4 linked regions of the Drosophila melanogaster genome follow. The protein of the gene in region 1 interacts with the protein of each later gene in a pairwise test. Each region holds a gene or a part of one and is shown on either strand. Other genes may lie near its edges. The genes, in order: Cdk4, CG5708, RabX5 and dan.

Evidence for each region.
Region 2: the proteins of Cdk4 (region 1) and CG5708 interact in a two-hybrid assay, tested with the Drosophila melanogaster proteins (one large-scale study listed by BioGRID).
Region 3: the proteins of Cdk4 (region 1) and RabX5 interact in a two-hybrid assay, tested with the Drosophila melanogaster proteins (one large-scale study listed by BioGRID).
Region 4: the proteins of Cdk4 (region 1) and dan interact in a two-hybrid assay, tested with the Drosophila melanogaster proteins (one large-scale study listed by BioGRID).

Annotation. Positions count from the first base shown.
Region 1 is NT_033778.4:16,576,354-16,586,980, reverse strand, and holds Cdk4 (Cyclin-dependent kinase 4), read right to left. Parts: upstream 7,512-10,627; 5' UTR 7,448-7,511; intron 7,418-7,447; exon of another isoform or gene 7,055-7,417; intron 6,876-7,054; exon of another isoform or gene 6,288-6,875; intron 6,149-6,287; exon of another isoform or gene 6,140-6,148; 5' UTR 6,069-6,139; coding exon 5,966-6,068; intron 4,986-5,965; exon of another isoform or gene 4,111-4,985; coding exon 3,945-4,110; exon of another isoform or gene 3,612-3,944; intron 2,830-3,611; coding exon 2,694-2,829; intron 2,632-2,693; coding exon 2,303-2,631; intron 2,238-2,302; coding exon 2,102-2,237; intron 2,030-2,101; coding exon 1,946-2,029; 3' UTR 1,533-1,945; downstream 1-1,532. Other genes in the region: RpLP2 (ribosomal protein LP2), read right to left, coding at 417-758.
Region 2 is NT_033779.5:10,221,873-10,229,353, forward strand, and holds CG5708 (uncharacterized protein), read right to left. Parts: upstream 4,937-7,481; 5' UTR 4,793-4,936; intron 4,094-4,792; 5' UTR 4,002-4,093; intron 3,940-4,001; 5' UTR 3,879-3,939; coding exon 3,632-3,878; intron 3,561-3,631; coding exon 3,407-3,560; intron 3,278-3,406; coding exon 3,086-3,277; intron 3,021-3,085; coding exon 2,888-3,020; 3' UTR 2,585-2,887; downstream 1-2,584. Other genes in the region: Prosalpha6 (proteasome alpha6 subunit), read left to right, coding at 1-271, 330-536; Bcs1 chaperone, read left to right, coding at 1,274-2,569; ova (ovaries absent), read right to left, coding at 5,989-7,254, 7,313-7,474.
Region 3 is NT_037436.4:1,667,074-1,673,753, forward strand, and holds RabX5 (RabX5), read right to left. Parts: upstream 3,036-6,680; 5' UTR 3,012-3,035; coding exon 2,764-3,011; intron 2,704-2,763; coding exon 2,602-2,703; intron 2,543-2,601; coding exon 2,478-2,542; intron 2,416-2,477; coding exon 2,282-2,415; intron 2,232-2,281; coding exon 2,006-2,231; intron 1,951-2,005; coding exon 1,892-1,950; 3' UTR 1,828-1,891; downstream 1-1,827. Other genes in the region: RpL23A (ribosomal protein L23A), read right to left, coding at 273-662, 736-1,148, 1,523-1,553; CG13930 (uncharacterized protein), read right to left, coding at 3,399-3,615, 3,670-3,885, 3,946-5,387, 5,450-5,632.
Region 4 is NT_033777.3:25,180,803-25,188,846, reverse strand, and holds the start of dan (distal antenna), read right to left. Parts: upstream 4,465-8,044; 5' UTR 3,418-4,464; intron 1-3,417. UniProt on the Drosophila melanogaster protein: Probable transcription factor with a role in the retinal determination (RD) network. Regulates ato expression and is required for normal R8 induction and differentiation.

The sequences.
Region 1 (10,627 bases):
CTGAAAGTGTAGTTACTAATTTCCATCTATTTTGTTTGTTATACACAAGGTCTAAAAAATATCTAAAAATCCAATAAGAATGCGCTGTCTTAACAGTGCACCCCGCCGACTGTTAAGTTAACATAATCCACTCCGTAGGCGTCCAACAGAATGTTAGCCAACACGTGGATCCACTGTTATGGGTGAAAAAACGGCACAAAAACCATGAAAATAACCGCATAAACGGCACAAAAAACACAATTTCACTTGGTTTATATAAAGTGCAAACACTGCTGATTTTTATTACGTAGAAATGGTGAACGGATGGGTGCTACACAAGTGTGTAGACTGGCCGGCCATGTATGAATGGCTGCTCCAGAACGCTGCTTTCTCGCCTCGCAAGTGTGTTGCACAGTATATTCGCCACATTCAACCGCTTATTCGAAGAGAGCGAAGCCCATGTCGTCATCCTCGGACTCGGACTCCTCCTTCTTCTCCTCCTTCTTGGCCTCCTTCTTGTCGCCACCGGCGGCGGCAGCGGGTGCGGCATCAGCGGCTGCGACGGCACCACCGCCGCCCACCGGCATCGAGGAGAGCTTCTCGCGACCCTCCTTGATCAGGTCGTCGATGCTCTTGCCAGCCAGCTCCTTGATGACCTTGGTCAGACGCTCGGCGTCGACCTCAACGCCCACAGAGCTGAGGATCTTCTCCAGATCGCTGTTGGCGGGCGAGTCCTTGCCACCGAGGACGGCCAGAAGGTAAGCAGCCACGTAACGCATGTTTAAGTCTTGGGTTCTTGACACGAAACGTGAATTGGCAAAATGTACGAAAAACACAACTTTCCTTTGCAAGTTGTCGTCGAAAAAGAGGCGGAAGTCAGTGTGGCCGCGCGGTCGAGGCTCGAAAATACCAGCTCATACTTATATATACCAAAGTATACCACATCCTTATCTAGCAATACCCCTAATGAAACGATAAATTCAAATATTATTTTCAATTTTGCTTTTAAATAAAAATTAGAGCAATATTATTGATTTTTGAACAATTTGGTGTGTTTTTTTTATATTTACAACATCAAAAAGTATTTATATTAGCTTAATAATATGACCTTTCTTACAGCATGGAAATGTTATCAGTTGCAACACTGGGTTTCAAACTTGGCTATCGTAATAGTGGGAAGCACTTTGCTCTTGCAGTAGGCGGTCACACCATTTGAAACGGTTCTGTTAGGCGAGGTCTAACATACTGTTAAGTGCTGGAAAGAGAGCAAAATGAGAGTGATCGTAAGCTAAGAGAAGGAACTAGGGATGCGTAAAAGTTAACAGCTGGCTATCGATGATTAACATGACCATCGTTTTAACAGCAGAACTTAACTGTTATTTGTACACATAAATATAAAACTGTAATAAAACTCGAAAAAGCTGTATAAAAAATAAATTTTTTTCGAAAATATGTTTAATATGAGATATTTATTATTCTTCAAAAACACTTTAAATTTAAGTTGCACCCCCACTTGAAATAAATTGCAGAAAAGACATGAGACCCATCTTATTGTATGCTGTATATATAATTGCATATATAAATGATTGTTGTACAAAATTTTGAAATTGTATAATGCATTCCTGAACTTTGTGTATCACATTTCGATTTGGAGGGCCTTCAAACGCCCTCGAGAATCGTTTCACATGTAATGGTCATCAGATAGTTGATCGGCAGTAGTATTCACACTTAACTTACGACTACAAACAAATTAAGGTATTCTTTATTCCGGATCCGTATCCCCGGACACAATAACTGGACTGTCGCGAAAAAATAAACAAAATGCTTCACTACACTTAAAGGAACATTGGTAACAAGAACGAAGCGCGGCCGCAATGATCAGTCCACTGCCACTTTCACTTCCACATCCATAATCCATAATCCATAATCCATAATCCATTATCCATTATCCTTCTGGGCATCGAGACTATAGGGGTTCCTGCTGAAAGTAATCGTGCTCCAAACAGGCCAAGGCGGATGGTCGCAGGTGGAGGTCGTAGGAAAGCATTTTCTGCGGGCAAACATAGGGTATGCGTTAGTCTAGACCATGCAACAAGATATGTATCTTCATTTTCATACTCACATTCAACAGATCATCGGCGTACTTGCACAGGTGTGGGCAAAAGTCTTTTGGTCTCTTTGGATGCCGCTGGGGAAAGTGTTCCAGGGCCACGGAAATGGTCTGTGGCCACTGTTGCTCGGTGGGTCTACCGGTCAGTCTGCGTGAAATCGCATAAATGTAATTAAAAATCACCGATTTCAATGGCAGTATTTGTGCACTCACTCGAAGATGCGGTCCAGCTGATTCTTTTCGGAGGTGCCCGGGAATAGGGCGCGCCGATTGAACATCTCGAAGATGATGCAGGCGGCACTCCAGATGTCCACGGTGCTGTTGTAGGGCTGGGCGAGCAGAACCTCGGGTGCGCGGTACCACAAGGTGACCACCACGGAGGTGAGCTTCATCTCCGAACCGTAGGTCTTGGCCAAGCCAAAGTCGGCGATCTTGAGGTGGCCCTGCGAGGAGACCAGCAGGTTTTGCGGCTTAAGATCCCGATGGATGATACGGTGTGAGTGTAAGAAGTCCACACCGGTCAGTAGTTCCCTTGACAAGCGCTGCAATAGGAAATAATTTCATATACCATTTTCTGAAATTTTGATATCATTTTGAGACCCACCTGAATTGTGGGCGGCGACATGCCCGATTTGGGAAGTCTGTCTATAAGATCCGAAAGATCCTGCTCCACATGTTCGAAAACCAACAGAATCAGCAATTGGCCGTCGCGCTCCAGAAACTGGCATACTTCGTACAGTCTGAAAGAGAGGGGAAGTGCAATCTTTGTATGTACAAATTGTTTGATTTTGTGTGCGACAGAGAGCGATGTATGGGGGAAATGTTGAGAGATATAAAAAAAATGTGTCATAAAATGCTGCTGGTTGTGGTGCGCCAATACGCCATTGGCCATACTTTGTTCGTTTCGGGAACTACGCGAAGCACTCGAGACAAACACATGCGCACATGGCGATCAAAGAGCCAAAGAGAGCGTCCAGTAAGAGAGGCTACAGATCGTTTTCGGACAGAGGCAAAACGTAAACGTTAGCAGAGCAGATTAGCATTATGTTATGTTAGCATTATGTTAGAATCAGTTCGGGCAGTTATTTTAACATTGCCTTTGAATTACTTAAAAGGCACAGTTTTATTGAAACCTTCTACTGTTACACTTGCTTTAGCAACTGGCACATTGGGTTTTTAAAAATACAGATAAATACAAGAAACTTAATTTGCCATTGATTTATTTCTTGTACCCCTCCAACACTTTTGGCTTCAAACAAAATAACAGCTGCACTTTGTAGCCATTTGCAACTTAACTTAACATTCTGTTGTGCGAGATCTCTCTCTCTCTCTCTCTCTCTGTCGATCTCTTTGTACTGTATTCGCGTCGCGCTCTCACGCTGCTAAAGTGCAAGCGAGTGCGCACATCGATAACGCGCGACAGCAACATGTGGTTATCGAGCTGCTCTGTTAATTCAAATTCCTAACGGCCGCCGCAAACAAACATAATGCCAATACAAAATCGCCCACATTTGCGAACTGCAGTGATCAGTTATCAGCGGGAGCGGATCGACTTGCTTCAGACTTACTTGACTTGACTGGCATATGTCAGAAGCGAGGGCGTTCGCCGGGGGCAAATCGTCGGAATATTACGGCTATAGCATGCACAGATAAACACAAGCGCGCTGACATTGCGATGCGGCTCTTTACAAATGAGTTTGGCAAATAGCTTTGGCGCCGCCACTTGGCCCCAATGGCGGGTGATAACACCCCTCATATACAGCTAGCTAGCTATAGTTCTACATAAAGTACTCAACTCCAAGGCCATTTAGAAGCCCACTGCCCTTGTGGCAGCGTGTAAATCACCCATACTCACTTGACAATATTCGCATGATTGCTGGCATTCAGCTGCTTCAGCAGCGAAATCTCCCGCAGCGTGGACATTGGCACACCGTTCTCGTTCAGCGATATCCTAACCTTCTTCAGCGCCACTATGTTGCCGGTGATCACATCGCGGGCTCTGTAAACCGTTCCATAGGCACCTGAAAAGTGGATCGAAATTGTACATCAAAATGCTTACAACGGGAAATAAATGCGAAAGACAGCCGAAAATAGAATAAAATAAAGTCAGCTGTGCCGATAAGATAAATGGCAGAAATCAGAGAGGCGAGAGAAAGAGAGAAGGTGCCACTTAGCTTCTTCATATCATTATGGTGTATTTATACTTTTCATATTCAACATCGTATTTATAGCCCTTACGATTGAAGTGACTTGATTTATTTGCCTTGTTCGATGAACTAACTGTTTATAATGATTGAATGAATAGACAATGAATGCATTTAGCCCAAAAGAATCGTATTGCAATGCATGCAATAATTGCATATATTAGAGACTATATTATATGCACTCAAAATTAGTCAAAATATTGCACGAAATTCAGACTAATTTCCTCATGAAACTGTTGCTGTCTCAGGTACAACGTGATCTTAATTTCTACATGTTCACGGGCAAAGAAAAACGACAAGAGACGAGCAAAATTCCCAATCAGAATCAAATTCTGGCATGCCAGAGAAATGTCACCGAAAATTTATCACCCGTACGGACAAATGGACAAATGGACAAACGGACGGACGGACGGACATGCGTGGGGGGTAGAAAAGCTAGAAGGCACCGGCTATTTCGGTTGACACTGACATACAGAAACAGCAGATATGTACTGATACACCCGAAATAAACGCAACTTGAGGGGGGGGGGGGGTGAATTTGGTTTTCCGTCCCTTTGTCACCGTCTCTAGACCACCTGGCTTATGAACTGTGCCGCTGTTGCTACATTCAAGTACAAGGCCGTGAGCTCGACTCGTTTTTGAACGTCGGCAACTGGTCTGTCCAATTGGAATTGTCAAAAAAATATACAAATATACAAGCAAAATAAACTCGAAAAATTGCGCAAAGAAAACAACAAAGCAAAGCACTATGGGAAATTTACGCACTTTATCTGGCCGAAAACCGATTAATATATGTAATATTAAATGCATGCATTTAGTTACAACGGTGACTACTGTTAGGCAATGCAAAAAAGTTAATTGAATGACTATCTGCAAACTAAAAAATATATATTATATATCATTAAAAATATGGGCTAGTGTAAGGCAATGCAAAAAAAGTTTGGAGTTAGTTTGGCCACAAAAAGTGGTCAAATTTTCCATAGTACAAAGTAGCAAAAATGAGACTGAGCGAAAGCGAATAATAATTGAATGAATGTGCACAGAAAGGCAGACAGCCGAAAGTTTGAGTGTATGTGTGTGTGTGTGCGTTGTATAACAGATGAAATTGTGCGGACCCATGACTCGCACAACACCCAGTAACAATATCCATCATTAGCATTCGCCTGCCCATGATGATCGGCATGATCGGTGACGTAATTGATTTGGGCTTTATTTACAGCAAACAAGCGATCGTAATTACTGACCACAAAAAAAAAAGACCATGAGCCACTTGTCAGATCATCATGGATGTGAGATCGGCAGAAACACGTAGTCCGCCGAGAGTGGACCTAAAAGTATGCAGGTAGAAGGTGTAGGATCCAATACAGGGGAGTTTTCCATCCAATATTTCCCCTTTTCGCGGAATTTCCACGCTTAATTAGTAAAGGGGTAAAAAAACAACAACATTCCTCCAAGTGCACTTGTCATTTCAGCTTCATAACAATGTCGGAGCTCCCGATTGATCGTAAACAGTAGTGAAACCAAATAGCCCAGACTTTGTAAGCAAATTAAAGTAATCAAACGTTAACAACAAGCGACCAGCAAACGAAAGCCTCTCGTGCGAAGAGAGCCGGACCTATCCCAACAACAAAGCAACCGCGTCCCATTATTAAATCCCACCCAAGTCGCTCACCTTCGCCGATGATGTTGAGCTCCTGGTAGTTGAACGGATCGCCATCGCCGAACTTCTTCGCCTGGGACATTTTCTGCCGCTTCAGCTGGCGTACATATGACATTTAGCTGGATTTTACGGTTATTTGCGTATTCCTCTAATATTCCGGGTAATCGAAACCGTTAGTTGCACCAGCTGGAAGTGAAGGGGTGTTTTTTTTTTGGTTATCGATCGTCTGCATGTCACGTATCGATATGTCCTTGTGTCCCCACGCGATAGTTCACACAGATCGTAGCGTGAGAGGGAGAGTGCGAGTGCGTGAGAGAGAGAGGGAGGGCCTTACCTGATTTCATACCTGTTGCCTTTTCTAGATAACCCCAAAACTGGCGATAAAGACTGGTGTGACAGGTGCGCTAATGGAAGAAGTCTGGCTATATGCTCCGCTATGCTTTTCTATCTCCGAGAACCGAAAACCGAAACATATACATGGACAACTACATATGTATGTATGTATGTAGATGGCGGCGGTCGTTGAACCGCGTTTAATGTTTTCGTACATACTCCGTTTTTATGTCTAACCAATCGCAGAACGGCAAAGGCCAACACTAGTTATGACTTATTCATGTTATTCAGTGACGCTGCTCGCCGTCTCCGTTTTGCGGCTTCGTTCGTGCATCCTGTTGCTCTTATTCGAGCTTGACTGTGAACGCTGTACTGGTTATCTACTGTCGCGTTAGTTGGCGTGTGTCCACTATTCTCTCCTATCTAAAGTGCTACCACTTTTCTGTCAGTGCATTTTTTTTGCCCGAAAAATATACATATACCGCAAAAAAGAACCCGAATACAATGTATTTTGTTGCTGGCATTTGTCAATTAATTCTAATCGCGAGACAAGCGAAACAACAATAATAAGCGACACAGTCACAAAACTGGGTAGAAAGAGAGTGTCCAGAATTGTGAAAGGTATTACGAGGTATTACGAGCTGTATATTTGGGTCTAAAATACATAGTTATTGTTGCACCAGTTTTCGCCCCCTCTCTCTCCCTCGTCATCCCTCTCTCGCTCACCATTTGCGCTCTACTGATAAGGAAATTTCGGCTTCACTTTACTTTTTTTTCGGTGAACTTCAATGCCAATGTTGTCGTTTTTCTTTCAACCGTTGTGCGAAATATTAGTTAAATATTAAGAAAATGTGGTTTTTATTTGCGAAGACTCGAACACACACACAACGCCGCTAAGTGATTTCGCTTGAGAGATCGGTCTTACACACACACACATACACAAACACAAACGCACACACCGAGTGGTACACACACACAGGCGCAGGTATTATGTATACATATATGATTTTTATTCGCTTTGACGAAATTTTGGCATTTGTTGATAATCCAGCTAGAACCGCACGATAGGAGCAACGCGACGCGAATTTTCGGTGCGAACACGGTTCAGTTGCCGGCAGTCGCACTTTAATTAAGTTTTTAAAACGTCTTATAAATTTTTACCAATATTCGTAAGAGTTGAGTGATTTTGTGTTTTGTTGTTGGCACAGCTCTGGAAACTGTTTTAGATGGTCTACTTAACAGTGGCTTCTCTTCGCCTGTTATCGCCCGCTGTTAGCAAACAGACGGCCGCTAACATTGTGCTGTATACGTCCAATCGGTTAAACGGTTAATTTCGAAATTGCTGCCAGCGATCGTTATTGAATGTTATTCCAATTCGATAACGTAAGTGTTATTGTGTTATACTAATGTTATTGATTTCTGGGAATTTGATATTTTCAACTTGTAATAATGCCCAAATTTATTTTTTTTGCAATGTGAATTTCAGGCATTTATATATGTAACATATATAAATTACAAATAAATAAATAATAATAAACATAATGAAAATAATATTTGAAAAAAATTTTTATTACATACGATAAAATGTGAAAATTTTAAAACTGTCGTGGTCAACTACAATTGGTCGGCCATAATTAGTTAACTCCAAACATGTGTGTCATTGACTTTTAGCATTTTTAGGATTTGGTAAACTTAAATTTTTATAACCCTGCAAAATAATACAAAATTCTGGAATAAAATGTCTTAATGATCTAGATTGGCGGCATAATTCAATTTGTAACTCAATCCGGCGATAAAGTCACTCGTTGAATGTATAATTTATTGACATGAGTTGAATGCCAAAAGTCGCTCAACATTTTTTTGAGTGAAAGCTTGCTTACCGATTTCCAACGATCTGGCCGCACTGCCAATTTCGAAATCGAATCAAGGCATTCGCAGTGGGGCGCGTAAATTTAAAAACAATGTTGCAAATACATTGTGAAACCAATAAACGCATTTAACAAACCGCCTATCACAAATGTTACCCATTGGATTGGCGAAAATTTCCATGTTTTTTTTTGGGGAAAAAGCGCGATTAATTAGTAACGAAATCAAATTAGAGCACAGTGACGAAGTCAGCCGAGTGCTAATTACCACCAGCGGGTATCAGGCACCTAAATTATGCATGACGTACGCCTTTCCGGCTCAAAGTGAAAGGGCAAACAGCGAATGCGAATGCGAATGCGATTGGTCAGGATGGATGTGTTTTGTTGGGAAATGAAAATATCACTTTCCCAGACAGCCGGAACGTGCCCACCTTTCTCACCTTTGGTGGGCGCCAGTCGGCGATTGGCATTTGTGATTCAATTGCTGCAGCCCATCTTGGCCCACTTAGCACCTGGATGAGTCGTATTCCTTCGCGGAAGTCAACGCCCAGCCGTGTAGCATACCTCACCCAATTAGAACATATGCATTTCCGATTCCAAGCCAAACTGATTTCACAGAAAAAACTTTTCATGAATGAATAATGAATGAGTGTGCTATCAGGATTTCTGGGTATCATAATCGGCTTTGTCTTTCAACCGCCTGACAACTAATAATTTCCGAGGAAGCTGCCAACGGATTAGCCATTTAATTTGCATTAGTTTGTGTGTCTGGAACGTTGCCGGAATAATGGTATTATATGGTATACCGTTAGGATCCGGTCGAATCTGAAATTCACCGATCGGCAAATAGACGCAAGTCGCTGATAAGCATTTATATTTTGTTTTTCACTCTCTGACATTTTGTCGGCCTGTGACGAAGGCGCTTATCGGCGCTGGCGATTAATCTTATTGCGTTTCAAACCGGCTGCGAGCCAAAAAACTAATTAAATGAAATTTATTGTACAAATATTATGGTCAAAATGGCTTGGTTCTGGCTAAAAATACGCAAGAAAATGCCAAGCCAAACAAAGAGTCCAAATGAATCGCGCGTTCTGAGCCCGTTTTTTCTTCTCTATTTTTATTCTTTTTTTAATTCGGGGGTGTTGACGGGCAATTTGGCTAAATGTTAGCCAATTGAATAAATCAGCCAGCAGCAGCAGCACGGCAGTCTGCCGAAGCAACCGGTTGGCCATTGACACGGCCAAGACGGGTCTTGAAATCGACAAACTAATGCCACTTGGCCAACAACGTCACTGGCCCAGCGAATCGAACACACTAGTTCCAAACCCGAACCCCATCGATGATCGGAGATCGCAGTTCTGAGATGCGAGATCCAAGATCTGATCCACTGATCACGTGCGGCAAGAAGGGGGTTTTCTCTTTTGGCCAGCGGTATCCGGAGAACCGATCCAGTCGAGCGCGGCTCATTACCATTGGCATTAAACAAGAACTCGAGACCTTGGGATTACGTGTTCCCCTCAAGCATGAAAGCCAAGCTCAAGTGCTCGGTTGACAGTTTTCCAAGTTATCCATCCAAATATGCGTCACCGCATCGCAGCGATTTGCATAAAGCGGCCGCATAATGAACACCAAATTGGTTCCGATCCGATGCCGTGATCTCGGCGAGAGATCTCGATCTTTAGAGCTATAGATCTTGACAAGCTTTACGACTCCACGGTGGCTTCCGTGTGTGTGTGTGTGGCGCCAGTTGCCCATCGCCATTCTCATCCTGCTATCTGCTTATCCGAACTACTGGGGAGATTAGTGTCTTCTTGATTGGTAAGTGCGTCATGGAAAAAGTTTAATTAGTTAACGCCGAAGATCGAAGATCGGTTAATGCCAAGCGCAAACAAACGCGGCTTATGTGACGCATATGTGATTCAATTCGATTCGATTTGATTTGATTTGAATTGAATTGATATCCCTGGGAAGCCGCAGAAGCGTTAATTACGTGACCAGCTGGAGCGGCCAAAATGCAGCCAGTGCCACCAATTTGGCAATTTGGCCACAAAACACTGGAACTGGAACCCTAGGTTGTGTTTTTTTTTTATTTATTTATTTATTTTTTTTTTTTTTGGTGGCAAAGGGGGCTGCTACGCACGCCGCGATATCGGCAATATTTAGCGAAACCCGGGTCGGGAAACCAGTTCCGCGGGGCGAGGGCATCGAATCGGGCCGTATAAAAGTGAATTGTCACAAAAATTCTGAACAGTCGAAGCGCACGCTCAGCGGCGACAGCAACGAGAATCGAAGCCAACCAAAGCGAATCGATAGCCCCGGGGGCCAACAAGGTGTTAAGCGATCACTGATAACAAACAAACTGACTAACTAATCGATCGATCAGAACGGTTTCGACTATTCGCGAGTGAAATCTTCAATCTACAATCTGCAATCTGCAATCTACAATCTTTCATCCGAATTGGAAAAAGTGACTAAG
Region 2 (7,481 bases), on another chromosome or scaffold:
GCGCTACGATCGCCGTCCGTATGGAGTGGGCCTTTTGGTCGCCGGCTACGATGAGAGGGGTCCGCACATCTATCAGGTCACGCCATCGGCGACCTTTTTCAATTGCAAGGCCAATTCGATCGGATCGCGTTCACAGAGTGCACGCACCTATCTGGAGAAGAATTTGAACAAGTTCTTGGACAGTTCCAAAGATGAAATCATCCGTCACGGAATTCGCGCTATACTCGGTACCCTGCCTACGGATGAGCAAGGCAAAGATGCCGGTCAGTATGTAAGTTCATTGCACATTTCCCGTCGCGAATAGTTAGTAAATTGTGTTTTTCTTGCAGGACATCACTGTGGCCATCGTCGGCAAAGACCAGCCATTCACAATTCTCTCTAATAAAGACAGCGCCAAGCATGTGGCGATTGCCAAAGAGAATGACAATGATACGCCCAGGAACGACGATGACGATGATCGCCCATCCCCCCCAGAGGAACCAGCAGCCGGACCACGCGACCCAGAAGTCCTGGTTGCAACCGAGCAGCGTCCATAGGCATTTATAGGGCTATGAAAGCATCTTAACCATTAAAAATGTAAGATTCAAGGATACAATAAAATTGTTCATGCATTTGCATAGATCCTAAAACGGAACAAACTGAATAAATGAATACAAAAAATCAATGTTATGGGTAAAATTTTTTGATTTTAATTTTAAACCTTCATTTATTATTTATTTATAGTATTTATTAAATATTGGTTTTTCGATATAAGTTTTCCCAACTTATTTGCATTTTTCCGATTTCACAGTTCGGTCACACTGTTGGATTAAAAATATTTATCAATGCCGGTATTGAAACATTTCTACTATAAAAAAATGTTGATTGCTTTTAGTGAATGACAAGTTATCCTCTAAGATGGTTTTTATGCCAAATAAAATGTGCCACTTCAGCGGCAACTTGTATATTTATTTGCTCACACCTAAATTACAATTAATTACATAACGAGAGTGATGGCAAATGGTTGATTTAAATAATAAAATTACATGGTTTTCTCATGAGAAAATAAAATTGTTGGTGCCTTTGCTGAAGCGCACGTAAACAGTATATGTTAGACTTCAGTTTTATTTGTTTAAAAAGTTGCTTCGAAAAGATGTACCATTGTTTACAGGAGGAACCCATGTTTTGGATGATAGATTAAGCAACAGGTGTTGTTTTATAGGGTTTTATTGCCGAAAAAGAGTAAAACACTTTAATTAAACGTTGATCCTTGTTCTCGGTTTTTGCAGACAAGATGACTTTGCCCGATCTTGTAGCTGGACTTTCGTCAAATCCCTACTTTGGTGCCGGTTTTGGACTATTTGGTGTGGGCGCCGCTGCTGCCATATTGCGCAAGGGCCTCCAGGGCGGAGTGATACTGTTCCGGCGGCACTGCATGATTACCCTGGAGGTGCCGTGTCGGGACAAATCCTATCAGTGGCTGTTAAAATGGATTACGATCAGAGGAGCGCGAAAAACGCAACACTTGAGCGTGGAGACAAACTTTGTGCAGAACGACAATGGCACAATCAAAACCAGCTATGACTTCATACCCAGCATAGGCAAGCATCTGTTCCAGTACAAGGGCAATTGGATTCAGGTGGAGCGGACCAGGGAACAACAGACATTGGACCTTCACATGGGTGTTCCTTGGGAGACAGTGACGCTTACAGCGTTTGGTAACAATAAAGGTATATATTTCGATATCCTCGAAGAGGCTAGGCAGCTGGCTCTGGAGGCCACAGAGGGCAAAACCGTGCTGTACACAGCGATGGGTGCGGAATGGAGACCCTTCGGACATCCGCGCAGAAGGCGTCCCACTGGATCGGTGGTGCTGGATCGCGGAACTTCGCAGCGAATCATTGCCGACTGCCAGGACTTCATTAAGAGCTCTCTGTGGTATACGCAACGTGGAATCCCCTACCGAAGAGGCTACCTTCTGTACGGGCCACCTGGTTGTGGCAAGTCTAGCTTTATAACCGCCCTGGCGGGCGAACTGGAGTACAGTGTCTGCCTGCTAAACCTATCCGAAAGAGGCCTCACCGATGATCGACTCAATCATCTCCTGAATGTTGCGCCAGAGCAGAGTATCATTCTGCTGGAGGACATCGACGCAGCATTCGTCTCGCGCGAAGCTACTCCGCAGCAGAAATCCGCCTTTGACGGTCTCAACAGGATAACGTTCAGTGGACTCCTAAATTGCTTGGACGGTGTGGGCTCCACGGAGGCCAGAATTGTCTTCATGACAACAAACTACATTGACCGCCTCGATCCCGCCTTAGTTCGTCCTGGTAGAATCGATTTAAAGGAATACATTGGCTATTGTACGCAATATCAGTTGGAGGAGATGTTCAAGAACTTCTTCGCCAGCAGTGACACCACAAAAGCCGAGGAGTTCGGAAAACGAGTGAATTCCTTTGGACGCTCCGCTAGTCCGGCGCAAATTCAAGGCTTTTTCATGAAGCACAAACTGTCCTCGCCGCAAACTGTTATTGATTCTTGTGAAGATATCTGGGAAAATGTTTTAGATCATAATAAAAAGATTAATTGAATTGTTGTGGATTTTGTTTACTTGAAGCTCTTTAAGACAAGACTGATGTCCCTTTTGGGTCTTAATTAATTAAAACATCTATCAATTTTACTGTCATTCGATATTAGTTTATGTCATTGTTTTCGAATTTATTTCATTTTTCAATGATTTAAGATTATCCATTCGTTTTTATGCATAGTTGCACGTGTAATTCCCAATCGAACTCACCTAAATGAAGGTCTTGTTTTATATTATGATTTAATTACATTTTTATAGGTAATTTAAAAATATGAACTATGTTCTAAAATATATGTATATTTTATGTGACATTAAGTTTGATTAGTCCTTTGATCTTCTGGGCCTACCGACCTTTCCTTTCCTTTGTCCAAGCGTTCCATTCGAGTTGGCGGGGCCCTTAAGTAATTTGTGCCAATCTTGTTCACACACCAAGCTAGCTCCTAACATAGTATACCTGCAAAAAGAAAAAGCAATTCCATTTCAAATTCGCTCTTCACTGCAGTGTGTTGTTAGGCATACCTATCACCAGGACGCAGACTGGATCCACACTTAGCACAACTAAAGCACCTTAGATGAAATACGCAATTAATTATTTGTTTTTGTTGATTTTGTAAATCGATATTATTTATTCCAGTAAGTGCTTTCGCTACCAGTTCACTTGGCGGTATAGTTTCTCCGCAGCCAGAACAAACTCCGGAGCACCCGAACATGCTGGAAAATAAATGTGAACTTGAACACAAGGAACATAATCTAAAGAGTATCTAAATGGTTGACGCCATTAAGTAGGCAACATGTTTTTAAGGAAGCTGAAATAATCTTTTCAGTCGAATGCGTGCGTACCTGGAATAGTCCTTTTTGCAAAGAATCAGGCCTCGCCTCGTAAAACAGCTGGAACCCACTTCTGCTAGCATAGCTCCACAGCAGTGACATTTAAGGCAGCCATTGTGCCAGTATCTGTCCAAAGCGTATAAAAGATATCTATCACTTATTTTATCTGCAAGCGAAACAGAGAAAACGTGAGTTAAGTTATTGTAGCTCATAGATGAATCGATTCAAGGAACTTACCTCCACAACCACCACACACTTTAATAAGGGAGTTGGAATGAATTAACTGCTGATTATTGAAATCGTTTGAAGATTCGTCCATGAACGATAGCTGAGACGATGAGATATTCGAGTTGGTCTCCACAGTGTCCTTTGTGTGGTTTGAGTTTCTATAGTCAATTACTATGGGGGCGAAGTTCTCAGGACTAGATGAGTCTTGGTGATGTGCCGCTAGTATGTCTCTGTATGAATGGAACGTTGCATTCATTGCAAATAATGTTGATGACTTAAGTCGTAGAAGGCATATGGGTCCTGTTTATGGTTTAAACCTGAAAAGTACAGAAACATGTATTGATAGAGGGAAATGTGTTAAATATATTAATAAAATCACCTTTTAACATGTGCAAAAATGAAGCCTAGTCGTGGAACTCCATAATTGCCGTGTTTCTACCATAAACTCAACGCATAAACCACATAAAATATCTAAAATAGGTTTAAAATAATCAATTATTTTTTAAGGAGCAGTGGGCTTACAGATAAATGTTAAGCTTAGTAAGGAAAAATATAAATGCATCTCTTTTAGTACAATTACGCCGATTTTGAAAAAAAATTCAAACTACCATCCAGAATTTTCACTAGAAGGTAATAAAATATTTATTTTATCAATCGATGACAGAACGTGCTATTCACGCCATTTCTCGCCGATTGCGGATGCAAAAATAGCGACAGGCAATCAGCAAAATAAATGACTTTTGGATTTTCGAAAGCGATCCAATTTGAAATTATTTTTGAATCATTGCATTCTGCACAGCTGTCATTACATACAAATTGATTATATACGCACGTACGTACATATGTACATAAGTAAAACACCCAAATGACCATACATACATACACACACTCGCAGCGAACGCTTGCAATGTACGTACATATATGTGTGTATCAAACTGCGGTCTTACGCCGATAGATTAATCAATATTTAATGTTTGTAATTTGCACTGTTCATTACGGCGAACTAAAACTTCAAACTGGCAAACTTGACGTTTATGTACAGAAATACTGATTTGCTGTCAGTGGCACATTTGAGCGAAATTTTGTGTACATATATATGCTGGTATTTGTTTCACTTAATCACTCGACTAAACGGGGTTTTTGTAAACAATAAACACAATATTCACTTACACACTCATCAATTAATTATTTAAAAGCGAAAATTTCTTTGACAACACCATGAGGAACAGTAAAATCGCTTTGGTTTCAAACACCATTTCTTGTATACGACTTTACATACCAAACTAATTCATAGATATGAAAGCAAGCAATCCGCGATTATACAGGGTGCACCGTGTACACTTCCACATTTTAATCGGTCAATTCAGTTATTTGGCTGTATAATATCGCAGTCAGTGATGATGTCTTGGCTTTTTTCTATTTATATTGAGGTTGAATAAGATAAGCAATAAAATAAATTTTTATATTTACCTATGTATTTAAGTTAAAAGAATACCAAATTTATAAGACATTTATCCATCCATTTTATTCATTTTATATATGGATAATCGCTGTGATCACCGATATTTTTCTATTCCGGTGGAAAACATTTATATTTTCGTTTGCGACCGAGAAATTTCATATGATGATAAAATAAACATTTAAAATGTTGTCTTTCATATGTTTTGGCTTACATAAATTGGACTACTGTGGTATTCTTTGAAAGACGTTTTCAGTGAGAATGCATCGAGTGGAACAGTGTGGGAAAGAAACATCTGGGATGGTCTAAATTATATCAAATTCTTCATCCCATCGGAATGAATGGAAAATGCGATATAAAACTAGATATGCCAAACCAAAAGCAGCTGACGCGTACAGCTGAATCGCCTAAAATAGGCGGGGTGATGGTTAACTCTACAAAGGGCCAAGCCCACGTTGGGTTGAGGTACATACCGAAAAGACTGGTTCAAGTATCAATCATGGGATTAATGCTACTTTGTATTAACCCTGACGTCCCCTCTCTTTCTTTAATGACGTAATAAAATTATGATGTGACTCATAACCAAAAAAAATAAGCTTTTGAAGGTCATGTACTATTTACGTGTACTTTATGTCGATGCTTTCAAACAACCAGATCATCGATTAACGCTTCGAACTATGAAGAAAACGGATGGAAAATATGCTGATTACCATCTATACGTGGTAATAGAGATCCCAAAACAGTAGGGTTCCTCTACAGTATGTCTTTTCTTTAAAACGCAGAGAAAATGAATTTAGACATTATATATAAAAGTATTTAAACAAATTATTTATTCATATATGGTAATTCTTAGTTTAGGTTTTCTTGTAAAATAACAATTTCTTAACTTAACTATGGATTAAAATGTCTAAGAAGTTAAATCAATGGAAATTATACGCCCAGTGCCATTGAAAGGCGGAGCCGCGGAAATCGCATCAAACGTACTACTCTCAGTAGTCTGATTTGTAGTGCTTTTTTTCGAATTAGCCGAATGAGCGTACCAGTCTGTGAGTGCGACCAAGTTCTTAGAAAAATTGCAGTTTTCCTGATTGTATTCCTTTCTGTGTCCCTCAGAATCAGCAAAAGTATTCGATGTACTCAGGGAACCAACCAGTGAATGATTGGCTATCGAGTCTACGGTACAGCGACTAATTACTGAATTAGCCTTATAGTTTGAATAAATATATAAAGATTGCTGTAGGGGCTTAACCGAATTATCAACTATTACTGATTCTGGCTCTGGAGCACATTTACTTGGCTCGACGACGCGGCTACTGTACAAATTTCTGTTGTTATGTGTAAGTTTTATTACAGTCAGTGCATCCGAGCCAAGTCTTTTGGGCGAGCCTATTGCTGGCTCTTGTTGCTCATCGTCGTCCGAGGAGCATAAGTCAATTGTATCAACAACAACTTCCTTTGTGGGTGAAATTCTCCAGTGTGAGTTGAGCGAATTGTGGCGCGTTAGTCTTATATTGAGTTTTGTATTTGCAGTGTGATTTTGCTCTTCCATTACGTGTTCGGATATTTTTTTCAATCTGACTGATATTGGACGGCATTGTTTAATCAGCGGAGAGTTCAAAAACAAAAAGTTCTCAGTAGTGTCCCTGCGTTTAACAAATTGACGCCGCGGAAAGGAATATATGTGATAATTGTGTTCATGTGACTTTTTAAATGTACAATGCACTGTAGTGTTTGTTTTTTTTTCAAAATACTTTTGCTTGGTATTTGATTTATTGATCAATGGAGTGTAACAAAAGCGTTCCAGGCGTTCCTGTCTTTCCGCAATATAATCCATTGATATTGTTTGTTTTGTCGATTTTAACAATTGCTGTCCTGCAGGTGATGATATTGGGATAAACGAACACCTACTAAACGAATGAACTGTTCGATTTCTCCGCGATGGTAAACGCCTCTTTCTGTTTGATGTTTCCGTTGATGTTTCTTCGCTGAATGAATATGTTTTCTGTTTCTCTTTAGATAAACTATTATCGGAGAATTTGGGTTGCAGTTTAAAGTTTAAGAGAAAGGCGTTGCGCTGTTCGATATCTTCGTTTTTCCCATCACTTTTGTTATCTGGCTCAGGGGAATCACAAAGTATAACGTCATCCTCCATGCAACAAATGTTTTCGTGTTCCTGTTATGCAATAGAGTTATTAACTATTAACTTTGACAATCTTTGGCAATCAACTTACGAGTATAGCTTCTTTAGAATAAAGTTCGGCATCACAGTTGTCACATAGGTAGATATCAAAAGGTGGTGGCTCAACCATCATATGCTGTACGTTTTCGCTAATGGAACTGTTGTTCTTTTGCAGCAACAAGCACTTTCTGTTCTTTTGTTGTCTATCATATGACTGCAAA
Region 3 (6,680 bases), on another chromosome or scaffold:
GATTGCTTGTTATTAAAAACTCACCAATTTAGAGCGCTAAAACCTGAAGTATCCAATCTGAAAGAGAAAACTGAAAGAAACTCAGAACCCATTGAGCCCACATTGAAAACCCACACTTAGTTTTTGAGTGGTTTTATTAAACCCAGACAACTTTGAAACGTTCATCCTCGCTCTACCGTGTCAGCTTAGCATTACTTTGTTTATAGAAAAGAATCTACATATAAAATGTAGAACGCGATGCCCATTCCACACGTTACCGCAGATTGCAGCGCTTATATGATGCCGATCTTGTTGGCAATGTCCAGGGCGTCGTAGTCGCGCGCCAGGCGCACATAGGCCTTCTTCTGGCCATCGGGCCGGATGAGCACGTTCACCTTGGCCACCTTGATGTCGTAGAGCTTGCGCACTGCGGCACGCACGTGGTTCTTGTTGGCGCGCAGGTGTGTGAGGAAGACCAGGGTGTTGTTGTCCTCGATCTTCTTCATGGCCGCCTCGGTGGTCAGTGGGTACTTGATGATGTTGTACGCGTCCATGCGGTTCCTGGTGGGCACCGATTTCCTGGGGTACTTGGGACTCCTGGGCAGCTTCAGGGTGGTTGGCCGACGGAAGTGCACGTTGGTGCGGATCTTGCGGGCACGGGTGCCGAAGGCGCCCTTGATGATCTGTTCGAAAAGAGCAACAAAGAACGAGGTTAGTCCGAGTCGATCTCCTCAATATTAAGCAGCTGATGCACACCTTCTTCTGGACCTTCTTGGCGTTCAGCAGAGCCACAGCCTTGGCCTTGGCGGTTCCCTTGGCGGGCTTGGTCACGGGCTTCACGCCCTTCTTGGCCTTGGCGGCCGCGCGAGCCTTGGCAGAGAGCTTGGCCAGCACGGACTGGGGCTTCTTGCCGGCGAGGACCTTCTTCTTGGCATCCTTGCTCTTGGCCTTGGCGGCCGCGGTCGTCTTTACGGCCGCGGGCTTCTTGGCAGCAGCACCGGCGGTCGCTGGCTTCTTGGCGGCCGGAGCAGCCTTCTTAGCCGCTGGGGCAGCAGCCTTCTTGGGCGCAGCGGCAGCTGGCTTGGCAGCCGAGGGAGCAGCCTCCTTCTTGCCGGCAGCGGGAGCCGCAGCAGTCTTCTTCTGCTCTGGCTTCTTGTCGCCAGGCTTGGCTGTAAACAGAAGAGCGCGGAGTCCACGGATTAGTAAACATGTTCGGCTCTCGACGCACAAAGTTAGGTTAGGCCTGATCGATCAGCAAGGCAATGGGACGCTTTCCGACTCATCCAGCTCCATTCGAATAAATTCAACTTTGGATTGCTCACTCGGTTGCTATACTATCCCATTCTGAACACACACTTGGACATTCCCACGCAGACACACCGCACGTGGCCGAAACTACGGATTATCTGTTCGAACACATTTATGCCTTAAAATCACAATATTTCGCACAAATTCGATTGCCTTCTGGTGGGCTGAGCTGTCGTCTCCCTTTTGCTGATCGATTCACGCATTTTTCGCATATTTTTGAATGAAAAATCCTTACCGGATTTCTCGGTTGGCTTTTTGGGTGGCATTTCTACGAGAAAAAGAAATGAAAAGGAAAACTGAGGGGCAGTTGTCAAAAGGCGGAAGCCCGTTTTGACAGGAGGGTGGCCAGATAGCTGGAATTTGGCACGCATTCAGTGCGTTTGGCAACACTGCTGCGGCACTTATTAGCCGTGTCTGGCTTGCTATCTTGACACTGTGCGCGTGCAACACAGCCGCAAAAATGAGTGGCAACGCTAACGGTGTTTAAAATGTAACGGTACTTGTTGAATTCGAATTTAAAGCGAAAGAAGTAACCAAATTGTTTAAAACTGTTTTATTCAATGTCTTACGTTAAGCTAAAAATACAAGTTGTGCAATCTGCAGGCTAGCAAGTACAGCCACTTTTCTGTTGCGAGAGGCGGCTTCCAAAGAAGTTGCGTAAATCTAAATAAGAATAAATATAAGCTGATAGGATAAGAATTTTCGAATAGCGGCTTACCAAAAGTTTGCGATTTAACAGATGCCTGAGTGGCCTGTTCCTGAGGCTTATTCTTAATAGACCTAATTTCCTGCATTACAGCCTCTTCAAAGGCCAGGGCAGCGATCCTTTGGAATAATTCCGTAACTTTGAAGCCAGATCGCGCCGAAACGGACCAATATTCCGCCTGAAGCTCGGCGGCTGCCAACCCTGCCAGTCGTTCCATGCGTACAAACTCCTCCTTCGACTGAAAAGTAAGTGCTATTACTTGAATCTTTTGTTGGAAAGGTGGTTTACCAAGAGGTCTGCTTTTGTGCCCACCAGGAAAACCAAGGGTCTCTTGCTTGCATTGTAGTTGAGTGCGCTATTTAGCCATTTTTTTGCCGACTCCAGCGAATCCTTCTTCGACATGTCGTAGGTGACCACAATCACTTTGGTTATGGATTTGTATTGTTAAAACTCTCTCCTAATGATTTAATTAGTTGGTACTTACCACTCGCATTGCGATAATAGGCTCCGGCGATGCACCTGAAGCGCTCCTGACCAGCAGTGTCCCACCTGCAAGTAGAGCACATTTCAAAACCAAACTGATAGCGCCTTCTAGGCAGTTGACCCACATTTCCAGACTGTAGTTGTGACCCAGAATGCTGAAGTTCTCCAGCTCAAAGTCCACGCCAATGGTGGCCTTGTAGTTCGACTGAAATTTGTCGTAGCAAAATCTGCGGATGATTGTGTAAGTTAATTAATTTAGTAATGCCTATATGCCATGCCATGCTCACCGATTGACGATGGCCGTCTTGCCCACGGAGCAGTCGCCCACGAAGATGACCTTGCAGGGTCGAAACTTGGGCTTGCGAGGCGCCTCTAGGTAGTAGCGCACCTGCGCCCCAAAGTCCCGCTCCTTGCTCAGCGGAGTCTGTGCGGCACTGTAGGCGGGTGGCAGGTGCCGCAGGTGGGTGCGAGGATCGTGCAGGACCACCGTGGGCGGTTGGGGTAACAGCAGGTTCTGCCGCAGTCGATGGGGCATGGCGGACGTCTCTATTCCAACTAACTAAGCAGCTCAAATTGGGGAAGCCAGCCACGTCGTCGGCGTCATCGCCTCCGCCGCAAACCACAAACTTGGTCGGCTTGAACTTGGTGGCTATCACATGCCCAAGGTGCCGAAAGCTACCTTACACCCCCTGCTTTGCATTGCAAATGCAGGTGCTCGATAAGAGCAGCTCGGGTGTGGGTTAGTTCCGATAGGGAGAAGGCCTTAAGAGCTGAGCTTTAATATTGGGCTGCCATTGTATCCATATCATTAAACCTTCAAGCCCGAAAGGAAAACGCTTTGGATTGGTATTTGGTGGCTTTATTTGTGTCAATCATAACACTCATACAATGGCTTATGGTTATAATATCTTGATTAATCTAATCAAGCCCTTGTTTGCTTCGTCCCACCTGGATAGCCAAAGTAGCCGACGCTCTTCACCTGCTTGCGGAGATCGGGTTGCATGGAGAGGGCCTTGAAGATGGCTCTCTTCAGCTGCTTGTACTGAAAGTGCGGCGGGAATGGCATGTCCTCGAAGGACAACATCAACAGGTTGCCCGCCTCGTTTCCCACGGCCAGCGAACGGCCGCAGTGGGTGAATCTGGAAGGCGAGGAGATGCGATAGGATCATTCAAGGAGAAGACTCTGAACTCACTTGAAGGTGGTGTAGAAGATGTCGGCGTCTATCACCGTGGAGGACACCGGCTTCATGGTGCTATTGCGCAGGTCCCAGATGTCCACGGTGCTGCGACTGAGCGAGACCAGGATGGTGGAGTGAGTGCGGCTCCAGCGGGCGCAGTGCACCGGGGACAGGTGATGCTGAAGGGTCACGATGGGCAACAGGATTCCAGCCAGCCAGATACGAATGCACCTGATGGGGACGCATGAGTGAGGATAGAGAAACCCGGAACAAAATCGCAGTTGATCTCACCAGTCGCTGCCGCAAGTGAGGTACATCCTTGGTGACCAGGGCGAGAACTCCATGCAGGCGGCGGGTCCATCGTGCACCTGCCTTAGTTCCAAGTGCTGCAGCGGGTAGTTCGTGGAGCACTTGTACAGGGTACCCTCGTCGGTCAGCACGTAGTATATGTCCGACTGGACAGGATCGAGCACAATCTCCAGACACTGCGGATGCCTGTTGGCCAGGAGGGAAGCCGCCGGAGGCTGTCGCTCGATGGGAATCCCCTCTAGCTCGCCCTCCGCCCGCTGCAAACGCTGCTGCTCGAGTCCCAGCATATTGGGACTATTGATCAGCCGGTACTTGGTCACCGCCCCAGCCTGCGAAGTGGCCAAGAAGGGCGTGATGTGCGGGTTCCTGCACCCAACATCGCCCTCGAAGTAGATCCATTTAATGGCCGTTACTGGCTCGAAGTATGGCGAGGACAAACGCTGCGATACAGCTAGTGGTGGCAGATCCTGTCCAGAAATATCCCTAACCTCCACACCTCCGTTGTGCAGTCCAATGGCCAGCAGTTGCGGTTGGGTGGGTGAAAACTCCACGGTGACCACAGGCACTTGGTAGTGGTAGCGTCGTTCCGGATTCACAGGGTTCTTGATGTTCCACACGTAGACCCAGCCGGATCTGGGTAACTTGCTGACCTTGCCGTGGCTGTACACCCCGTAGGCCACCGCCATGATGTCCCCATTGCTGGGACAGAAGCTCATGTCGCTCACCGCTTGATGAACCTTGGGATCCGACGAGGGGGGGCTCAGTCGCCACAGCAGGCCCAGTCGGTACTTGAACTTGACGTCCTCGGCCAAGGGATCTGGAGGAGCCATGTTCCTGTACCTCCGTTGCTGCGGCTCGAAGACATTGCTGGCCAAGATGCGCATGGTCAGCATGAGGGCCAGTCGAAAGCCGGGCAGGCAGTTGATCCCCACGAACTGATCCACCCCGCCCACGTGGTAGGTGGTTATCTCCATCTTCTTCGCGCCCTGCACCTGGACACTCGTGGTGGACTTCTCCAGGTCGGTGTACGTGTCGTACATCTCGAAGTTGGACACATAGGAACCCATCTGGGCGGTGGTCAGCCGCTCGGTGTTCACCAGCCTGGACTTCATCAGCGCCGTCATGGTTTGGGTGTCCGCATCGACGGTTCTCCGCGTTTTGTCCGTTCCCGAGAGCAGTTCGTCGTACTTCCGGTTGTCCTCCATCACCTGGCGACCCTCCTCCGTGTCCGCCAAGGCGGTCATGCTGCGCCGTTCGAATAGCACCACGATGGGAGTCTTTCGGAGCAGCACCTTGATGAAGGGCGTGGCTGGAGGACGGGCGGAGTGGGCGGAGCGGGCGGAGGAAGCAGGCTCCTTCAGATAATTCGGTTCCTCCAGAGTGGGCGACATGGGCGTGTCCAGCTGCAGCTTGTAAAGATTGATCTGGCGAATAAACATACTGTATGGCTTGATTTCTTTGGACATTAAGGATGATAGGCACTCACCCCCAAGGCAATGTCATCCAAGGAAGCTCTCATCACGCACTTCGTTCGGTACTCCGGCGTACGGAGCTTATGGAGTTGCTGCTGCTCCGCTCCGGGCTCCTTCATCAGCGGATGGTCCCTAATCATCCTGCTCAGTTGCTCGAAGTCCGCGGTGCGGTAATCCTTCCTCAAAGGTCGCGACATCCTTCTCAATTAATTTGAATGAGCGCGTGCCGCCGATTTCCCAACTTGTTTACTGCGTGTGCAGACATGGCAACGCAACAATGGTGGATACAATATATGGGTGCCATAACTACCAAGTGCTGTAGTTGCACTCCGATTGCAACACGGAATTCCATTAGCAGGCTCACACATGACTGCACTCATTGCGTCCATAAATATTTATAACTCACATTTAAATCGCGCAACAAAAGTGCATAATAAGTGGGTTGGTAAGCAAAAACGTATATTTAAATATGAATGTAGTTCCAGTTGTGCAATGAAGATGAAGCCACCATAGTCTAACATCAATTTGGATCATTACCTTTAGTGATTCCAATAATTTGCGCGGCTTTCTGACCTGTCACAAGAAAAATCCCCCAACCGGAGAAAAGCAAAACAAACTATAAACTACAAAATACAAACTACAAACTACCAACAAATGAAATTCGTATTCATATTCCAATTAGACAGTAGAAGAATAGCAGACGGAAAATAGTTAGATGGTATATGGTAAAAAGGTCTTTAATTCCGCCACATAGCCGCATAGGAAATGGGCAAAAGATGGGATGAGGAGGAGCACTTGGCCATGTGGGCGATTGAGAGCAGCAAGCCGTGCAGCACACTGAACGAAAATAAGATCGGGTTAAGAATGAAATATGATTAGGTTAAGTGCTCACAGCAAAGAAATGTATCTACAGAGAAATTATTTCAACATGAATCCCAAACTATAAATATGACAATCTTAATTTGAAGATAGCTTGTAATAATCAAAGCGATTTTCCGTGTATAGAAGATATGGAAGTCGAAAAGAAGTTGTTTATGTTAATTTGGCTTTATGCTTCGCTACGCTGATTCGCTTGATGAACATATAGCAAAAAAGAGGGCTGATTATGAGGACGACGACGACGACGACGACGATGACGATGATGATGAGGGGGCCCAAACCGAGCGAATATGGCCAAGTGCACTATGTCAAACGGAGGGGCACACGGCAAGCGGGCAACTGATGGCCAAGAAGAACAAACCATCA
Region 4 (8,044 bases), on another chromosome or scaffold:
CACCAGCAGCAGCAGCGTCTTTTGGGCCAGCTCTCAAGTCTTTTTTGGCCTGGCCAAAAGTCGAAGGCAGGCAGAAAACAGAAACCTGAGCGAGCAACAATATGCTCCGCCTCCATCTCTCCAGAAAGTGAGGCATGCAAAAGAGCTCGCCCCATGGTGCAATTTTAAAATGAAAAACACGTTTTGCGCATGACTGACACATGATTTCTTTCCCTGCATATATATGTACGGATATATCTGTATATATACATATATATCTATATATATATATATATGTGTGTGGCATTCAAATATACTGGCAGCACAAGTTGGTGTGCGTGCCCTCGCAGAGCGAACTTCTCAAAGGAAGAGAAACTTTCGAGAACTAAGAGAGTCCAGATGACCAAACTGGAGGAGTCTTTCGTTTGGCCATCCATCGCAATGCTGTTTACAAAACGCACATCGCTCCTTGGCTGGCTTTGAAGCCACTTGGAATGGAGTTTACACGTTGCCAGCTATTAATTTGAGGCTCCTGAATCACTGGACTTATCTCCTTCGGTTGCTTGTTTAAGCAGACTTGAGCTTATGATTTGGAATAAGCAGTTGGCAAGGACCAAAAGGGATAAGGTGCATCGTTTTGCCAAATATTTAATCTGGTTGGTATTGTTATAGGATATGCTAGGATGCTTTCTATTATTTGTTTTGTATGCAAAGAAAACTTAAATGAGAAAAGTGGTACTAGATTCCAGTATTTGAATTAAAGCTATTTAGTTAACTCTAAAGCGTATGCAAATCAAATGTATTTATCTACAAAGTAGGTAATCTAAGTCTATTATTATTATTATATAATTAATGTGCTACGTTGGTAATCACTGCTAATAGTTATGCGTTTGTCACCTGGTTGAGTATGCGGTTTAATGCATACCAATCTAGTTTAAGCCTCCATTTCTCGCTCCCCCTCACTTGACACCCAAACCACAAAAATAGACACTCCGGGCTGTTCATAACCAATAGAGCAGCAAATAACTGTGTCGACGGTGGTGCATGTGATTCTGCCCCTACTACCGACAACCTAAACAGCAAACAGCAAACACCTAACACCATACACCATACACCTAACTCCATTCAACTAACACCACCCACAGATCCGGAGCTGCGGAGATCCAGAGAAGCAGCGACCTGAGAACAACCTGCACCCAAACACATATCGAATAAAACTTTTACCGCTGTATAAAAATTACAAGGTCTTTGGCCATTCAGCAGCGGAGTCGAATGGGAAATGGGAAATGGCAAATGGGAATGGGTGGGTCTGAGATGGGGTAGAAGGAAAAGAATTTTTACTTTCGCTTTCTGCAGTGGGTCCGTCCTTGTCCTAGCCGGCTCGCCATTAAACTTTTCACGAACCGAACTGGGACAGTGAGAAGTGTGTAAAAAATCTAGTAACAACAGAAAAAGATGAAAGAAATAAATATAAAAGAATTACACCAAGTTTGTCAGTGTGTGTGTGAGTGAGTGTGTGTGGAAGGGGCCCGTCTGTGTCTGATGTTGCTGCTGTGCACACATGCACACTCACACACCCGAACACTTACACACACCTAGTCAGGACAGGACATATGTATGCCGGAATGGCCATACCCGTCAGTATGTCTGTAATGGCCAACCGTCTGGCCATTTCATCGTACACGTGAGTGTGTATGTGTGTGTGTGTGTGGGCTAAGAGCTTCTGATTTTCCTATATACAATTATAATTTTATTGTATTTACTATTTTTTTCGTTTCTTTGGCTTCGTATTGAACTCACTCACAGACACAGAGGGGCAATGCATGTGGCAATGTGGCAAGGACACCAAGGAGGGTCAAATGGGATGGGTCGGGATGAGCGAGGCGGGGGGAGGGGCAAGCGAAGGGGGGCAGGAGAGTCTGGCAAATGGAGGTCAACGACTGAAACTAGTACTAATATGTGCAAGCGTTTGATAGCTCCATTCGTTTGTGCTAATGCAGAAAGAAATAAAACACAAAAACGAGGCAACACATAAAAATAAGAATTCCGTAGATAAAAGAAAAAGTTGCTTTGGTCCAAACCCAATCGTGTGTTAGTGTGTGTGTGTCTGGGATGTCTGGGATGCTTCCCTCACCGCAGTTAAGTGTGTGCAAATAAACCATGTGTCTGCTGTAATGTTGGACCTGTTGGCACCAATGATCTATGTGGCTTTAAGCACTATTGCACCTTTTTTATTGTGTGTTTTCGTTTATGATTAGCCCGATTAATGTTGTGTCGGCATTTCGCAGTGGAACGAATTTATTAATTGTCGGGGGATTCAATATGAACTTTATCAAATTATCTAACTATGGTCTCATGTATGGGCAATACTATTTTAAACAATGAATCGATTTTCAGAATTACAGTTATATAATAAATAAATAAAAATATGTAAATCCTTTGATAATTTTCCTAGTGTTGAAATATCAGTGATGTTATGAATGATGTTGTTTTACAACACTGAAATGCTAATGATGTACGAGAAAAATATAATTATAAATAAAATAAAAAATAAGAAAGATAATAATAAGCAACTTTATTAAATACTTTCTAATTTATAAAACAAGATGAGAATAGTGACACAGAAGCGTTCAACAACTAAACGGATAGGAAAATAACTTTTTACCATAAATACAATCAAAAAGTATTGCATACATTAAGGGGCCAATAAAACCGGTTTCCTGTGTTTGTTAATATTGCAATTCAATATAAACTTGGTAGATAAAGGAAATCTAACTAAAACTCTTTAGTTATATAAAATTTACATTTTTTCAAGCTTATTTTACAAACCAAGTATCATATGGACAAAGTAATATTTGAATCTAAACTCGGAGGTAAAAAAATTAAATAAAAAATTAAAAATATTAATTTTTGATGGAAAGCAAATTTAAGTAATTGCTAACGCAGTGTTAGGAGGTAAATAATAAAATTACATAAGATATTAATGTTATACACAATATCTATCACTCCTGAATATTATTATAAATAAATATGAATAAATACTTTCTCGTAAAATATTTCCTGCTCTTTTGTATAAAAAAGTTGTTAAGTTGTTATTTGAAGGACCTACTAAGATTTGTACTTATTAATTTATAAAATGTGGCAACTATTCAAATACACAAAGAACTGCACTTATATTGTTTTCCAAATTGTGTAAAAATAATTCGTTTTTGTTATGTAGAAAGGTAAACAATAAATCTTCAAAACTAATCTCTCGAAAAACTTTTTATGTTTGGTTTCCGATTTAAATAAATATTTTTTGATTATTTAATATTTTTTCTTGTGTCACCAATTCTTCAAGTTGTGTTTAAAACACTCAGTTAACTGTTATTAATTAATGCAGAACTAACAATTACACTTTACGGATTGCTCAATTCACCGGTGAAATCAAATACTAACCTTTTAGTTATCTTCCGGGGGCGAAAATGGATCGGTGCCTTCTTCCAGCGAAGGCGGGAGAAATTCGGTGATAGCGCAACTATTTGCAGCAGTTAAATTATTCTTATCTCGACCGGCGATGTTTTTAAATCACTTTACTTATAGTTCACATGGATTTGAATTTATTGTTTTCAGTTAATGTTGTTGTTCATTTGAAAGTATAACATCACTCGGTCAATCACAATCGAACACTGTGCTCGCGATGCGGCGTGATGTTTACCGCTGCTGTGGCGTGCGAATTTTAGCGGCAGGACATGCGGTGCGGTGCGGTGCGACCTCTCTCTCGCGCTCGTCGAAGGATATTGTGATATTGTGACGCTGCGTCGCTGTGACGTGGATGTGCGAACCTGAGCGGCTAGCGTGCGGCGACAAACTACCGCGGCGGACTTGAGTGAATTTTGATTTTAGCGCGGCGAATTTCCGCACGGCGACGACGGCGGCGACGTCACGGGAAATTTAAAGTCGCACGTCCACGAAATGCGGCGTTTCGTTCTCACTCACATACACAAGCACACTCGCAGATATATGCGTCCTGCAGTGGTGGTTGTGTGCTGGTCAGTTGGTCTGCCTTGGTATTAGTAGTTTTGTAGTTGTCGTTTTTGTTTCTTTCACGTGTGCGTGAGTCGCTCTCTCTCGCTCCCTCTCTCGGACTCTCTTTCGCCCGCTCTCTTTCGCTCTCACTGTTGCGAAATTCGCGGCCTTTTTCGGTGACAGCCAAATGTACAATGATTAATAACGGTCAAGACGGCGGCGAAGAAGTCCTCTCGCTTTGGCTGCCCCGTTCGCAATATTCGCATTTTGGCATTTTCGCATTTTGGCCGGCCCAACCACAGGCCAGTGTCCACTCACACACACACATATCGAGCACACATACTAACACAGCACATCCTCCCACACACACACACACACACGTGCGGACACACAGCTGTGTGCAACGAAGACGACGCAATACTCGTGCTAGGCTTTTTGAGATTGAGAGACGCACATCCTTTTCGGCCTCCTTTCTTGCGCCCACGTGTGTGTGTGAGCACAGAGAGAAAAATCTTGATACCTTAGTAAAGATAATGTTATTAAATTTGGTAAGAATTCGAAATTTAGTATAATAATTTAGCAATTTTGTATCTCTTAGTTATGTACATATATTCCATGATTATAACTATGAAAATGAAATTTCATACAAATAAACGAATAGATGATACGATCGCTTGTGATGAAAAGTATATATTACTTTTCTGCCAAGCTTATATTTCCTTGTATTCTGTATTAGTTTTAGGTAAAATCTAGATTTTTTCCAGTGTAAGACTGTGTGCAACCTCAGGAGGCATTTGCTTGCGTTTAGCTAAGCCATTTTCTGCTTCCTTAAACGCTGGGCAACAACTATCAAACGAGCAACGGATCTGCGAGAAGAACGTGAAAAACCTAGCCGAAATCCCTGTCTAATTTTCGCAGTAGGGGGTGCGCCTTTTATCGTCACTGATAATTCTGCTAGTTTTCCCGCTGTCATGTGCTGCAGTTGTTGCTGTTGTGATTGCGGCCAGTTTTCCTCGCTTTGTTTTGATACATGCCTTCATCGCAGATTACGTGGGCTCGCCTCTCTTTCGCGACCGTTTCGCAAAGAGCTGAGGCAAATGAGAACCGAACATCCTCTTCCTTAAGAGAGAGAGAGAGAGAGAGGGAGAGAGCCAGTGAGAGAGCAGCTTTCGTCCTCGTCTTCGGCTTTTTGCCGCCCGAACCGAACGAAGTTATGACGGCAGGAGGTGGTGACCCCACGGGGAAACCCCCCTTGGGAAACCCACATTCTTGAAAACAAGGCGAATCCGTCCAACAGAGTGGCTTTCTTGGCTCTTTTCGTCGCTCTTTTCGCTGGAGCGTGACCGGCGATCGCCGAAGGAACCGGAATTCTCGAACGGACACTCGATCGCAAAGATATGGGCATGACATAGTGGTTGTTTCTCCATCGACTTTTGCAGGCAAATTGCTGCGGTTTAGAAATGTCAGATGGCGAAATAATCGAATTCAAATTGTGGGACAAGAAACTAATCAGCTGCAAATTTCAGGTGATAGCCAGCTTCAAAATATGTATTTCCCATATTTAGCTACCAAGAATAATATAATTGTAGTGTATATAGGTAGGCAGGACAATAACTTATGTTTTCCATTAAAGTGCCGACATATTCATACATATTCATATACTTAGTGCACAACATATTCAATGCTTGGTATACACCAATGTTTAACATGGTTACGCATTAAGATGTTTAGGTTCCTTGTAATATTAATTACCGAGCTGATAAGCTCTAGGTAGGAATAAAAAACCATGTTAAATAGATTGTTGATATCATTCCCAAGCAAGTTTCAAGTCAAAGTGTATTTTGATTAGTTCTGCGAGAGAAGAAAAACCTGACAAGTATTTGCACCATCGTGGGATAGCCCCGAGATTACGATCTTATATAATGCGTGTGTACACATAGGCATTTTGAGGTCGTAGACTTAGTAGTTGCTATGCAAAACATTTGCGCAGAGCACACACACAATCGCACATACATAGCTCCCTATTTCCCTATTGTATCTGGCCAACGAAGGCGGCCACTGACCATAATAACAACAACGGCAACGAAAAAGACAGCAGCAGTGTCGCCAGAGTTGCTAGTTGCTGCCTTTCGGGAAATCGCTAAGAAAGGTTTTTGAATCCATGTCCGAAACGCACAATCACACGTACACGCACAGCCACACGCACACGAAAACACAGGCCCAAGGATATAGTGTAGTCGTACATATAAGTAGAGGCGTATACACAACAAGGAGCAACAATAACGCAGGACTACGGAATACGGACAGCGGACAACGGACGACGGACGACGGACTACGGACGACCACGAGTATAGATGGCCGGCATGGGGCCGCATTGGCAAGAAACATATCCTTGCCACTAAAAAGCCAAGCAGCCTGCCCGGGTCGCTTCATTTCGTCACACACACACACCCGCAGCCTCACTCACTGGACACACACTGAAGCAGTTTGGCAACACGCTACCCACACAGACGCACATTCTTCTTAGCATCCGCAGGCACATCAGCATCTTTAGCGTAAATTTTGCTGCTGCGAAAATTTAGAGTTGTTGCTTTATGCCAATGTGCGTGCTAGAGTGTGTGTGCTGGTGTGTGTTTTTGGGTATATATACTTCAGATTTTCATCGGCCAACCTAAAAACCCCCCGCCCCTTAGACAGCGGAGCCCAACCCGACCGATTGTCCATTGTCCATTGTGTCCACCAAGGCAACATTTTCCATTTTCGTTCGTCCTCTCTTTGGCCGCCGGACTTTCTCTCATATCTGCAGCTCCTTGCCAGCCGCCTTCGTCCTAGCCACCAAGCCACCAAAACCGCCCAACCGCCCACCACACCACCCCTTCAGTTGGTCAAAACCCCCCTTTTCGGATGTGTATGTGTGTCCATTTGTGAGTGTGTGTGTGTGTGCTGGATGCCTTAATGTCGCTGCGTGTGTGTGTACAATTACGAATTCGTCGTCCTCGACTAAACTCAATTCACTTTCTCCCTAACTCTGGCAAGCCCGCGTCGTTGTCACCGTCGTCCTGCGATGTCCTTTCACCCAACCCGACTCACCTCCCAGAATCCCCCATCCATCCCTGAATCAACCCAACCCCTCATGTCACACCTCCGGATGGCGAAGGAAATTTTCGCGTGAATTGAAAGATGAAGGCGCACTGGGCTGGACGTTGGTCACCCCCGATGGTTGGTTATATGTACACGCATAGGTCCTTGCTGATTTCCGTTCGAACGTGTGGCTATGTGTGTGTGTGTCGGTGTGTGTACATATGCTAGAAGACGTGTGCGCTTGATTTTCAGCACCCATCTACCAACACCCACCCGCCCTGGGAATCTGCATCCTCTCACATTGTCTTTGTATAACTGTTCCTAAAACAAAATTTTCAGTTTTGCCTTCGAAAAGATAAATGTGTGTACACGAGTTTTCTATGTATGCTTTTTCGTGCTTGTGTGCGTTTCTCCCGGCTACATGTACTCGTACACTGGGATCTACTCAAAATATATCCCTAGATGCGTACTTGTTTGCACCTTGCCTTAAACTCGATTTGTCCCTGCCCATTTCAATCAACTCATCGATCATTTATTTCTATTTCGATCACCATCAATTGGGTTTGGGAATTCAATTCGATACCAGTTTGGATCAGAACTGACATTGATGGTTACGAAAGATTAACAAAAATATGAACCACCTGGAATAGAAATTTATCGAGTTTTCAAAAATATCAACGAGAAATATAATTTCTCAGAATTTTAAGTGAAAGTTGATATAAAATTTAGTTGATAGATAATGAAGTCGATAAATAATACTTGAAGCCAATATATATATATTGTGTGCGAAACTATTTTATAGCAGTAGAAGATGCGGTTCCTTTTCACATACACCTGATTTCATGTACTGCAGATATATTTGCGATGGTCAAGTCGAGCCGAGCATCGTCGCCTGGAGACAGTCTAATCCGTTGTCCGCAATTGTGCTGACCTGGGCGGTCCTGCAAGATGCCCATGCTGGCAGTTCTTTCCTACC